Linked DNA regions of Arabidopsis thaliana. Each later gene encodes a partner of the first gene's protein in a complex. Each region holds a gene or a part of one and is shown in the gene's direction. Other genes may lie near its edges. The genes, in order: JAL22 and BGLU21.

Region 1 (5,440 bases):
CCTAGCAGCCCTAATCTTTTCTAAGAGAGGAGATCGAGACTCTGTTCTGAATCAATAACCATCGATCAATCTCAACTCTAAAAGATGTCTAATACTCAGACCAAGTCGTTGTGTTTGGACGGTCTTAGTGATCGCGAAATACTTGAGTATAGGTATTGATCGATTCTTCTTGTAAACTTTGTTCCAATTATTTTTTTGCCTGATAATCTCTGACTATATATGTTATTTCTTATTCTTCCTGGATTTTCAGATTGGAATGGGAAAATTACACCGAAATCATGATGAAAAGTGATGGAAATTGCCAGGTAATTAATGTTTCTATATCAAACAATCAACTTGATATATATTTTTGATCGTATTATGAATAACCCTTTTTCATGTTTTTGTCAATAATTCTATTTCAGTTCCGTGCTTTGGCGGATCAACTTTATCAAAATTCGGATTGTCATGAACTTGTTAGACAAGAAATCGTAAAACAGGTAATATCAATCTTCAAACTTTTGATTGTTTTTTTCATACGTGTATTAATGTCATATGATGATTGATTGATTGATGACTCTCAGCTTAAAACTCATCCGAAGATTTACAAAGGGTTTGTTGATCATATGGACTTCTCCCATAAAGAACATGTCATTGTCCACTAATTCCCAATGGGGCGATGAAGTGACTTTGAGAGTGGCTGCTGATGTGTATCAAGTAAAAATAATACTCATTACATCAATCAAACTTATTCCATTTATGGAGTTTTTGCCCAAGTCTCAAAAGGAACCGGACAAAGTCATTCATATGAGCTATCTAGCTGGGATCCATTTCAACTCCATCTACAAAAAAAATAAAGAAAAAGGTTAACGTTCTCTTCCTTCTCCATTGTATATACATCTCATCTCCTTACTCTTGATTTGAGGCTTTGAGCAATATTGTATCATTCTTATTCTTCGTCTTGTTGGCTGCTTCAGGTTCACGTTCATCTTCATCATCGAGTTCTGCAGTCTGGATGAAGCTACAGAGGAAGAAGGAGAATGAGGCGAAGAAAAAGGAGGAGGAGGAGAAGGAAAGGAAGGACATGGAGAAGGAGGAGAAGAAAAAGGACAAGGAGGATAAGAAGAAGGATAAGGAGGATAAGAAGAAAGCCAAGGTGCAGAAAGAGAAGAAGGAGAAGAAGGAGAAGAAGAACAGAAATCACCACTTTCACTATTCTGAATGATTTGTTTTGATAAATTAAGTGTATCTGCATTTGACAAGTTGTATGTTATTATTGGGATCATTGTGGTTGTTTTGACTCTTTTATGTTCTTTTCGAGCTTATTCTAGTTTTGAGCCTTAGATACTGATAATCATAAAACACAACATGATAATGTGAAAGAGTCATCATGACATAACATCAGCGTCCCAAAATAACTTGACCATCGTCTCCATGGTATCCAACCGTCGATCCTCAACGACTCCAAAAAGCAAGGACATGAATATATGATGATGATAAGCCAAACTTTTGCATGAACACAGTTTATACAAAATTTAAATAACTGTTAAATTCATTTGAAACTTTAATGAATGATATTTCTGACAGTAACTTAGGAAATAAAGCTTATACACCGTTTTAGTTTGAAGATAATAATTCTAAATCTGTTTTCAAAATGTGCAGTCAAAAAGATTCTTAATACTAAATAGGAGATTTTGGTGGGAATCGCAACATTAACATCATCAAATTTGTTTTAGTTAACAATATATTGAATTTGGTTTATGCTGTTTTGATGAATTGTTTTGTTCATCTGTCGTACTTTAAAATATCTCTGCATCTAGAAAGTTGTATGCTATTATTATATATTGCACTCGTAATGGACTCTAATTATTTGTTGCATTTGTGAGGGAGTCTCTCGTGTCACACGAGTTGATTATTAAAATGATTAATTAAAGACAATCAAGAAGACCTTGTATGCCAAAGATTGTCAATAAATACACACAATTCAATACCCATAAGCTTCATCTCCTTCCATCATTCAGAGCTCAATAATTAACTGGTTATCTCTCTCCCTTCAATTTTTTTTTTTTTTTTTTTTTTTAAAGTAACTCCTAGTTTCCACTACTATGTATGTTGCTTCACAAAATGTTTTTAAAACAAGAAGTAGCTCTTTATATGTAGATATGTATTCTTGAATATATTAGATTTAACAAACACTTTTAAACCTAATTGATTGATTTATATTACACCACATCACCAATAATAGAGCTATCAACATCAAACAGTAAATATTTACCCATGATCAGTTGATTGTTCTATTTGTGTTTCTTGGATCATTTTGGTGTTTTTGCTATGTATTTGAATAGGCTATACAGTGTTATCATGGTATTTATGTATTACTAACCACAAACCAGCTTTAAAAACTATATATAAAGCTGTACATATATACTTTCGTTTTTGGATTATCTATATAAGAAGTAATTTTTGCATTTTACAATATTTTTTAGATTCGAAATGGCGAAGATGTACCGGAAGTTGGCACTCTGCGGTGGTGAGGGAGGACAAGAATGGGACGACGATGTATATGAGGGTGTAAGAAAAGTGTATGTAGGGCAAGATCTCAACCGTATCACTTACATCAAGTTTGAGTACGTGCAGGAAGACGGCGAAGTAGTAACAACTGAATATGGGACAACAAATCAGCACCCTAAAGAGGTTCTCATTGCATTTATTCTCACCCTTAATTTTTTGCGATACTAGTAAATTACTCTTGTGAATTCGGATTAACGTTGGATAAATCCTTTAAGACATAAACAAGAAGAAGCAAGTATTTCTGAGGCGGATACCCTTTAGTGACTCTCTAATTTTTTTGTATTACACTACTTGTGTAAATGAATAAGACACAAACACTAAGACAACGTTATAAAACCAAAACTCAGATACTGTATATTAGGACTAGGAAATCTTGAGAATTATCCTAAACCTATCAATATTAAATACTATAAATTTTATTGAATATATGTTACTATTACATACAGTTTGTAATTCAATACCCGGACGAACACATCATAGCAGTGGAGGGAAGTTACCACCAAGTGGCTCTCATTGCCACAGAGGTGATTACGTCCCTCGTCTTCAAGACCTCAAAGGGTAGAAAGTCTCCATTGTTTGGTCCAAACTTACTTGGAATTACGACCGGTACAAAGTTTGTTTTTGAGGATGAGGGAAAGAAGATCGTAGGGTTTCATGGACGGGCAGGTGATGCTGTCGACGCTCTTGGAGTTTACTTTGTATTGGATACCACGCCGTTCCCTCTTTACAAGCTTGATGCCCAAGGTGGTACAGACGGGCGTGTTTGGGATGATGGTTCTTACGATGGCATTAAAACGCTGCGTATTGATCAAGATAATTCTCGTATCACTTATTTAGAGGTTGAGTACGAGAAAGACGGGGAAGCAAAAACATGTAACCATGGGGGGAAAGGAGATACACCATCCGAGGTAACTTTACTAGTTCTTCTTATACACGACTAGTTCAATAATTTCTCAAAAATGTTATAAATTGTTAAACTCTATTTATATGTGATCATTAGTACAACGACATAAATTAGGTTCCAAATATCAATGATTAATTATTGTGTTTGTAGATTCTTTGCAGTAGTATGAAGTATAACTCTCACACACTCCGGTTCAAATTTTTGTAGATATAATTGACACATGTATTTAGATCTCTTAAGACAAAAAGTCTTCTTATTTTGTTGCTTCTTGTTGCAGTTTGTGCTTGGTTACCCAGATGAATACATCAAATCGGTGGAAGCAACCTATCAGAAGCCAAACATTTTTAGCAATACGGCAATTACGTCACTTAAGTTCTTAACATCAAAGGGGAGAACATCATTCTTTGGGTATAATGTGGGTAAGAAGTTTGTGTTGGAGCAAAAGGGTCATAGGCTTGTCGGGTTCCATGGAAAGGAAGATGCAGCTATTGATGCTCTTGGAGCATATTTTGGACCTGTTCCTACTCCTACTCCCTTGATTCCATCTAAGAAACTACCAGCGATAGGCGGCAACGAAGGAGTTACATGGGATGATGGTGTCTACGACGGTGTAAGGAAGATACTTGTAGGACAAGGTAACGATGGTGTATCCTTTGTCAAATTTGAGTACAGTAAGGGCAAAGACCTTGTACCCGGAGATGACCATGGGAAGAAGACATTACTCGGAGCTGAAGAGGTCATTTAAAAACAACAATTTTTTTTTTTTTTTTTCAATTCATTCTAGATTATTTACACTTATCCTTTGTTGGTTTTGAATCTTTGCAGTTTGTGCTTGAAGATGGTGAATATCTCATGAACATAGATGGCTACTACGATAAGATCTTCGGAGTTGAGGAACCAATAATTGTATGTCTTCAGTTTAAGACCAACAAAAGGGAGTCAATGCCGTTTGGAATGGATTCTGGTAAGAAGTTCTCGCTTGGAGAGGAAGGCCACAAGATCGTTGGATTCCATGGACAAGCTAGTGATGTTGTTCACAGCATCGGAGTCACTATCGTGCCCATCACCACCACCGAGTGAAAACCAGTTAGTCATATATACTACATGAAACTTCCAATAAGATTGGAGTGTGTGTGTGTGTGTGTTCTCTTTACTATGTTACTTTTAATACGTGGTTGTAAGTTCAAGTAACTTACTGTGTGCTAATAATTCCAATAAGATTGGCTTGTGATTTCTTGTTATTTACTGCCAAAAAATTAATCTGGTTCTAAAAATCTACATGCCTATTAATTTCAATAAATCCCCTAATCAATTCTAGTTATTTTATTAGTTAGCATAAATAGAAAAAAAATACCACATTATTATTACAAATCACTAAGATTTATTAGTCCACATTATATTTTACTGATAATTATCAAAGCATGGTACTATTTAAAACCTCAAACAAGTTAGCAATTAAAAATCTCACAGAGACTGATTATCTTATTTGTTTTAATTAAGAGAAAGGCAAAAACAAAATTGAGTAATGCTTGCTTACCAAAATATACAGCTAAAAAAGACAATTTTAGGCCCACAATAAAAAACAATCAAAAAGGCCCGCTCCTTCAAAAAGATTTAAAAAGTGAACGGACTCAATTTCCCATATTACCCTTCATTGCTACTCGAATTTACGGAGAAACCCTGTTTCTCTGTCCTTACGCCTTTCTCTCTCCGTTACACTGCCGCCGTAACGCTTTCTTCCTTCTTGTAAAAAAAGTCTCTCCGTTTAACTAAACGCCGTAAAAAAACTCAGCTTTGATAATATCGGTTTTGATTTTTGATTGAGTTTCCCTCCATATCTCCTCGATTTCCGATTTTGAGGAATCAATCTCTCTGTTTATACGGTAAACTTCATAACTCCATCGATTTTTTGGTTTCTCTATTTTGAATTTCAAACAAAAAAACTGTTACTGATCCATATTTGTATTTGATTGATCGTAAATCCTC
Region 2 (5,852 bases), on another chromosome or scaffold:
CCTAAGTCCATCCGCGATAAAGAGGGATGAGCTTTAAGTTATATTTTGAGGATTTTTATTTCTGTTCAATAAAAAAAACAACTCAACGTTTATGCATGATGAATATTATACGTTCAAGATTTAGAAAAATAAAAAACAACTCAACGTTTATATATCGTGCAATGAAATCATCCAATTTAAAATATTTAATAATAGTCCTTCTGTATAACAACCACTAGTGTTCTTGTGGAATTTTTATTTTGTTTCAAAAAAAAACATGTTATTTTAAATTTCCAATTTTACTTTTCAAATAAACTTCCACGTTTATTCTTTAATTTATTCATATTTTTGTTTTAAATTTAACACTCACTCTGATTCATTATATAGGATATTTCAGAGATTTATTTAGGATGTTTTACTAATATCAATGCAATTTTTAAATATATTTTATTTGATTATTTGACTATTGGTTTGTATTTTGTATTTTTAATATCAAGAGAACAAATTTTATAATTAAAAATAAATTTCTTAAAGTGTGTGTTTTAATCTAAAACATCATATAATTTGAAATAGAGGAAATATCATCTAATAAAGTAATGGTATATTTGTATAGTTAATGATTTGTCTTTTTATTCGCGCAAAATGTGTCAATTATAAAATATAAAGAGGATATAATTTAGTTTAGAGTTTTAGACACGAGGACTATATATTGGAAAACAAAAAAGTAATGTAAACCATATAGATCATGGAATGAGTCATCCTATTAAACAGTTGTATTATATATTTATATTTTAGTCACTAACACATTAATAACTTAACGTCCATAACAAAATAAGATCCAAAACTCGATCTAGATCTATACGAGGCACTAAATGATCCATTGACTTAGGGCCGGCCGATTGGTTCGAGGACTCCTCATGCTGTAAACTTTTTTTTTGGACATACATGATATATTTTTAAGTCACGTTTTTATATTATATGTTCCACGCCCAATATAATATGTTCCAAACTAGGAAAAATAAGTAAGAATTAGTCAATGATCGAGATAATGCAATGAATCATCCTATTTATTAAATAGATTTACTAAACTATATATAATACAATGATCGAGATCGTGCCATGAAGCATCCTATATACTATAAAAATAGTCTTACTAAATACATACTCATATAGTTTAGTCATTCATTAGTCCAAACATTAAATGAGAGATCCTTTACTTGCTACCTGAATTTTTTCAGAATAAGGTATAACTTTTTTTCGAATTAGAAACTGATTTATGAAAGATTAAGAGTAATGTTCGTTAAACAAGTTAAAAAATATGTTTTTACAATTAAGTTTTGAAAAATAATAAAGTCTCCAATTATTTGAGTATCAAAAATAGGCTTGTTATTATTTAGGGTTTTCGTTGGTTTAAATGCAACGGGGTGTGGTTGTCATTGTGGAAGTTAATGGAAGTAATTGGTTGAGGTTTTAAACGTTATCGGACATTTTAAATGACTGGTTTACAGTTAAAAATATGTGTATTTACGGCAATTTTATGATTGGCTTAGCAGTAGATGCGACAGTGGTTTAAACCAAAAATTACCAAATAAATAATATACAATTATTAAATTATATAAAACACCAATATTATATATTTATATATATATGAACATAGTTAATTATCGAAACCATAGACAAAGTACATAAGAGTTATTCCGAAAAAGGTTTATTATGAAACACAAATAATCATATTGGGAGATTATGATATCCAAAATGGACTAATCAAATAATTAAATCCAAAATGGATGAAGAACTTATATTAGTTCCACGCACAATATAATATGTTCCAAACTAAGTAAGAACACAACGGTCGAGGTCATGCAATGAATCATCCTATATATAAAATAGTTTTACTAAACAATTATATTTTAGTCACTCGTTAACAAACAATCAAAATCGCTATATAAAGAACTCCGATTGGATGTAAACAAATCATCATAAACTTGTTCTCTTCCAGAAGAAACTAAAAACAAAAATGGCATTGCAAAAGTTTCCTCTCATGGGGCTGCTTTTGCTCCTAACCATCCTCGTCTCTGTGACAACAGCGGTTGATGATCCTGTTTGCCCGGCGACTTCCAAGCTAAGCCGAGCAAGTTTCCCTAATGGGTTTTTGTTTGGCACGGCTACTGCTGCGTTTCAGGTACAACAGATTTACTAAATCATAGTTCAAAAAACAAAAAGTAGTGTCGTTATTGTGTTTCTATCTGAATTCAAATCCATATTTTTAAAATATGGTTTTTTTTTATGTAAAAGTTGCTCAAAATATGTTATACCTATCATTTGAAATCATTTGTGCATGTGATATTCCTCAACTCATCAACTATTTTTTGTTATGTCATTAGGTCGAAGGTGCAATTAATGAAACTTGTCGTGGACCGGCTCTATGGGATATCTACTGTAGAAGAAATCCAGGTGAGTGTACTCGTATAATCTACATTCTCAATACAGTATGTTTAAATATTAAATTAAATTTAACTAATTAATATCAATACATAGCCATTAATTTTCTTAATTACTTTCAAATTACAGAGAGATGTAGTGGCGACCACGCCGATGTGGCCGTTGATTTCTTCCATCGTTATAAGGTATATATTAATATAAATTTAAGACAAACATAACTTATATTCTCGAGATGTTATTGAAATTTTGCCTTGTCTTAAAAATGTTTGTAGGAAGATATTCAGCTAATGAAGAATCTAAACACAGATGCATTCAGACTCTCAATCGCATGGTCAAGAATATTTCCTCGTGAGTATATGTCTGCAGATCTCTAGTTTGATTTTGTTTTAATCGAATTTGGTGAAATTAGATTTATGTGATTGTTATATAATACTAATAACCAATGAATTTAGATGATGTATATGTGAATGTTGAAGTATCAATAACTAATGAAACAAACTGTAATGCTTTATTAGATGGGAGAAAGGAGAAGGGAGTGAGTCAAGCTGGTGTGCAATTCTACCACGAGCTCATCGATGAACTCCTTAAAAATGGTTATATACATATAAAATACCTAGTTCACAAAAATACAAGTAATATAGTATCCTTATTTAACATTTCTTTCTATTTTACGTCATAAATAGGTATAGTTCCGTTTGTGACTGTTTTCCATTGGGACACTCCACAAGATTTGGAAGACGAATATGGCGGTTTCTTAAGCCAAAACATTGTGTATGTTTTTGTAAATTAAACAAAATACATTTAGTTAAGTTTATATGGAAATTATTAATTTGGTATCTTTTTTTTTTGCAAAAATACAGGAAAGATTTTCGAGAATATGCAGATTATGTTTTCACTGAATACGGTGGAAAAGTGAAAAACTGGATCACTTTCAACGAGCCATGGGTCTTTGCTCACGCAGGTTACGACTTAGGAAAGAAAGCACCAGGACGTTGTTCTCGCTACGTTCCAGGTTGCGAAGACCGAGAGGGACAATCTGGTAAAGAGGCTTATCTAGTCAGTCACAATCTCCTCAACGCTCACGCAGAAGCTGTTGAAGTTTTCCGCCAAAAGGTAGTTTACATTAGATATAAATCATAATTAATTATCAGGTCACATTAGATATAAATCACAATTAATTATCAGGTTTCGAATCTTAAAATAGGTTGTTTTGTGTTGTGTTTATGGACATAGGTTAAAGGTGGGAAAATCGGAATCGCACATAGTCCGGCTTGGTTCGAACCACATGATCTTAAAGATTCAAATGACGCTCCAACTGTTAGCCGTGTACTTGACTTTATGTTGGGATGGTAAGTATATATTATGTTAGAAAATGGTTTCTCGTATATAATTTCATAAAAATTAATGTAGTTATTAATTTTGTGTAGGCATCTGGAGCCAACTACTTCGGGAGATTATCCACAAATCATGAAAGACCTTCTTGGTTACAGATTGCCTCAATTTACTGCTGCACAAAAAGCAAAATTGAAAGATTCGACCGATTTCGTAGGGCTTAACTACTATACTTCGACATTTTCAAATTATAATGAGAAGCCAGATCCGTCTAAACCAAGTTGGAAGCAAGATTCTCTTGTTTCCTGGGAACGTAAGTTTTTTTTTGTTTTCCGTACATGAAACCAAACCAAGAAACTAAAGATAAAAGGTTTTATAATACTAATTGATATGCATACATTTTCACTTTTTATTTTTCAGCTAAGAATGTAGATCACAGCGCCATTGGTAGCATGGTAAGCGTTTGATTAAACTAGTCCTAGTTTGTGATTGTTAATTTTTGTCTACGACATAACATTTTCACCATTGCTTTATTTCAGCCTCTTACTGCTGCATTGCCCGTCTACGCTAAAGGATTTAGAAAGCTTTTAAAGTACATCAAGGACAAATACGCAAACCCGGAGATTATGATAATGGAAAATGGTAACTCGAGATTTATTGTTATATTTGTGTGTTGATTTAATCTTAACTCTTAAGAGTAATATACTGATCATTATAATGTTGTTTTTTCTAGGATATGGAGATAAACTTGGGACCACAGATTCGGTTGACGTTGGTACTGCTGATCATAACAGGAAATATTATCTTCAGAGGCATCTTCTGGCTATGAACGAGGCTATTTGGTAAGCCTTTTATTATTTGATAGATTGACTAACGATTCTATTGAATGGTCTAATTAAGAACATAATTGTGTTTGTGCAGCATCGATAAGGTGAGAGTTACGGGATACTTTGTATGGTCATTGTTGGATAACTTCGAATGGCAAGATGGTTACAAAAACAGATTCGGACTCTATTACGTCGATTTCAAAAATAACCTCACACGTTATGAGAAAGAATCAGCCAAGTATTACAAAGATTTCCTCGCTCAAGGTGTTCGTCCATCCGCACTCAAGAGGGATGAGCTTTAAGTTATATTTTGAGGATTTCGTTTTCTATTCGATGTTTTTCCTATGTTTTAGTTTGTGATTGACCACGCACGATTCATGAGTCGTGGTTAATAATAATAAAAGTGTTTCGTTTTCCTTCAATCTCTAGCTTATTCGACAAGATCAAGAAGGCTTTAGTTTTAATGACGTTATCCTTTTTGAGAATCAATATGTGAAGTTAAATATGTTTTACCTTCCAAACTTGAAGAAAAATTGAATCATACAACCTTAACATTAAAAAATTTATGAGTTACAAAATGATGTAAGAAAATATCATTAGTTTTAGAAAATTAAAAATACGAATTTACCTCTATACATAGAAATAGATTAGGAAATAATTTGACGTCGTCTTAACAACTAAGTACAAACATTTCAAAAACTAACAACTTAAACGTTGGCGATGAAATAAACAATGGCAATTCATTTTCCCAAACAGTTCTAATATTTTATTTTTGAAAGTCACTAGTTTAGATTAAAAAACAGGACGACCAGCAAGAGAAGATATCTCTTTTTCACTCATTTGGCCAAGCGTATTTTCTATATACCTTAAGGAAATAAAATCCATGCATGATGCAACCAAATAAATCCACCATGCAATACCAACATCATTCATTACTTTGGAAATTCATATTTCATTCTTAGCAAGCAAAAAAAAACAAAAAAAAACAATCAAACGTATGTGTTAATAATGAAATCATCACATTCTATCTTACTAGTAGTCACTTATCAAAAACGATTTATGTAAATAGTGATTTTCAAGATTTTTTTTTTAAAAGCAAAAAATTTAAAGGCCAACTCACTTTCAGACTGTTTCTTTTGTAAAATTGAGAATTCTTGGAGCATCTCCTATCAGTACTGTAGCTGATTCATTACTTATTTTCGTGCTTTTGATATGTGAGTGAGTGAACTAGAGTCGTAGATTGATAGCTTTGAAGCTGAGTTGGAAGGATTG

The links.
Region 2: JAL22 (region 1) and BGLU21 share a complex: the UniProt entries of both Arabidopsis thaliana proteins name them as parts of the PYK10 complex.

Annotation. Positions count from the first base shown.
Region 1 is NC_003071.7:16,413,356-16,418,795, reverse strand, and holds JAL22 (jacalin-related lectin 22), read left to right. Parts: upstream 1-1,950; 5' UTR 1,951-2,017; intron 2,018-2,058; exon of another isoform or gene 2,059-2,465; 5' UTR 2,466-2,472; coding exon 2,473-2,673; intron 2,674-2,996; coding exon 2,997-3,458; intron 3,459-3,731; coding exon 3,732-4,190; intron 4,191-4,279; coding exon 4,280-4,534; 3' UTR 4,535-4,762; downstream 4,763-5,440. Other genes in the region: AT2G39320 (Cysteine proteinases superfamily protein), read left to right, coding at 279-305, 405-479, 625-844, 957-1,204. UniProt on the Arabidopsis thaliana protein: Inhibitor-type lectin that may regulate the correct polymerization and activation of BGLU23/PYK10 upon tissue damage.
Region 2 is NC_003070.9:24,699,140-24,704,991, reverse strand, and holds BGLU21 (Glycosyl hydrolase superfamily protein), read left to right. Parts: upstream 1-1,825; 5' UTR 1,826-1,996; coding exon 1,997-2,161; intron 2,162-2,363; coding exon 2,364-2,433; intron 2,434-2,550; coding exon 2,551-2,606; intron 2,607-2,693; coding exon 2,694-2,769; intron 2,770-2,936; coding exon 2,937-3,014; intron 3,015-3,104; coding exon 3,105-3,192; intron 3,193-3,281; coding exon 3,282-3,534; intron 3,535-3,654; coding exon 3,655-3,770; intron 3,771-3,848; coding exon 3,849-4,066; intron 4,067-4,173; coding exon 4,174-4,208; intron 4,209-4,292; coding exon 4,293-4,395; intron 4,396-4,486; coding exon 4,487-4,595; intron 4,596-4,674; coding exon 4,675-4,882; 3' UTR 4,883-5,124; downstream 5,125-5,852. UniProt on the Arabidopsis thaliana protein: Beta-D-glucosidase active on scopolin >> esculin >> 4-MU-glucoside > DIMBOA-glucoside. No activity with pNP-glucoside, oNP-glucoside and sinigrin as substrates.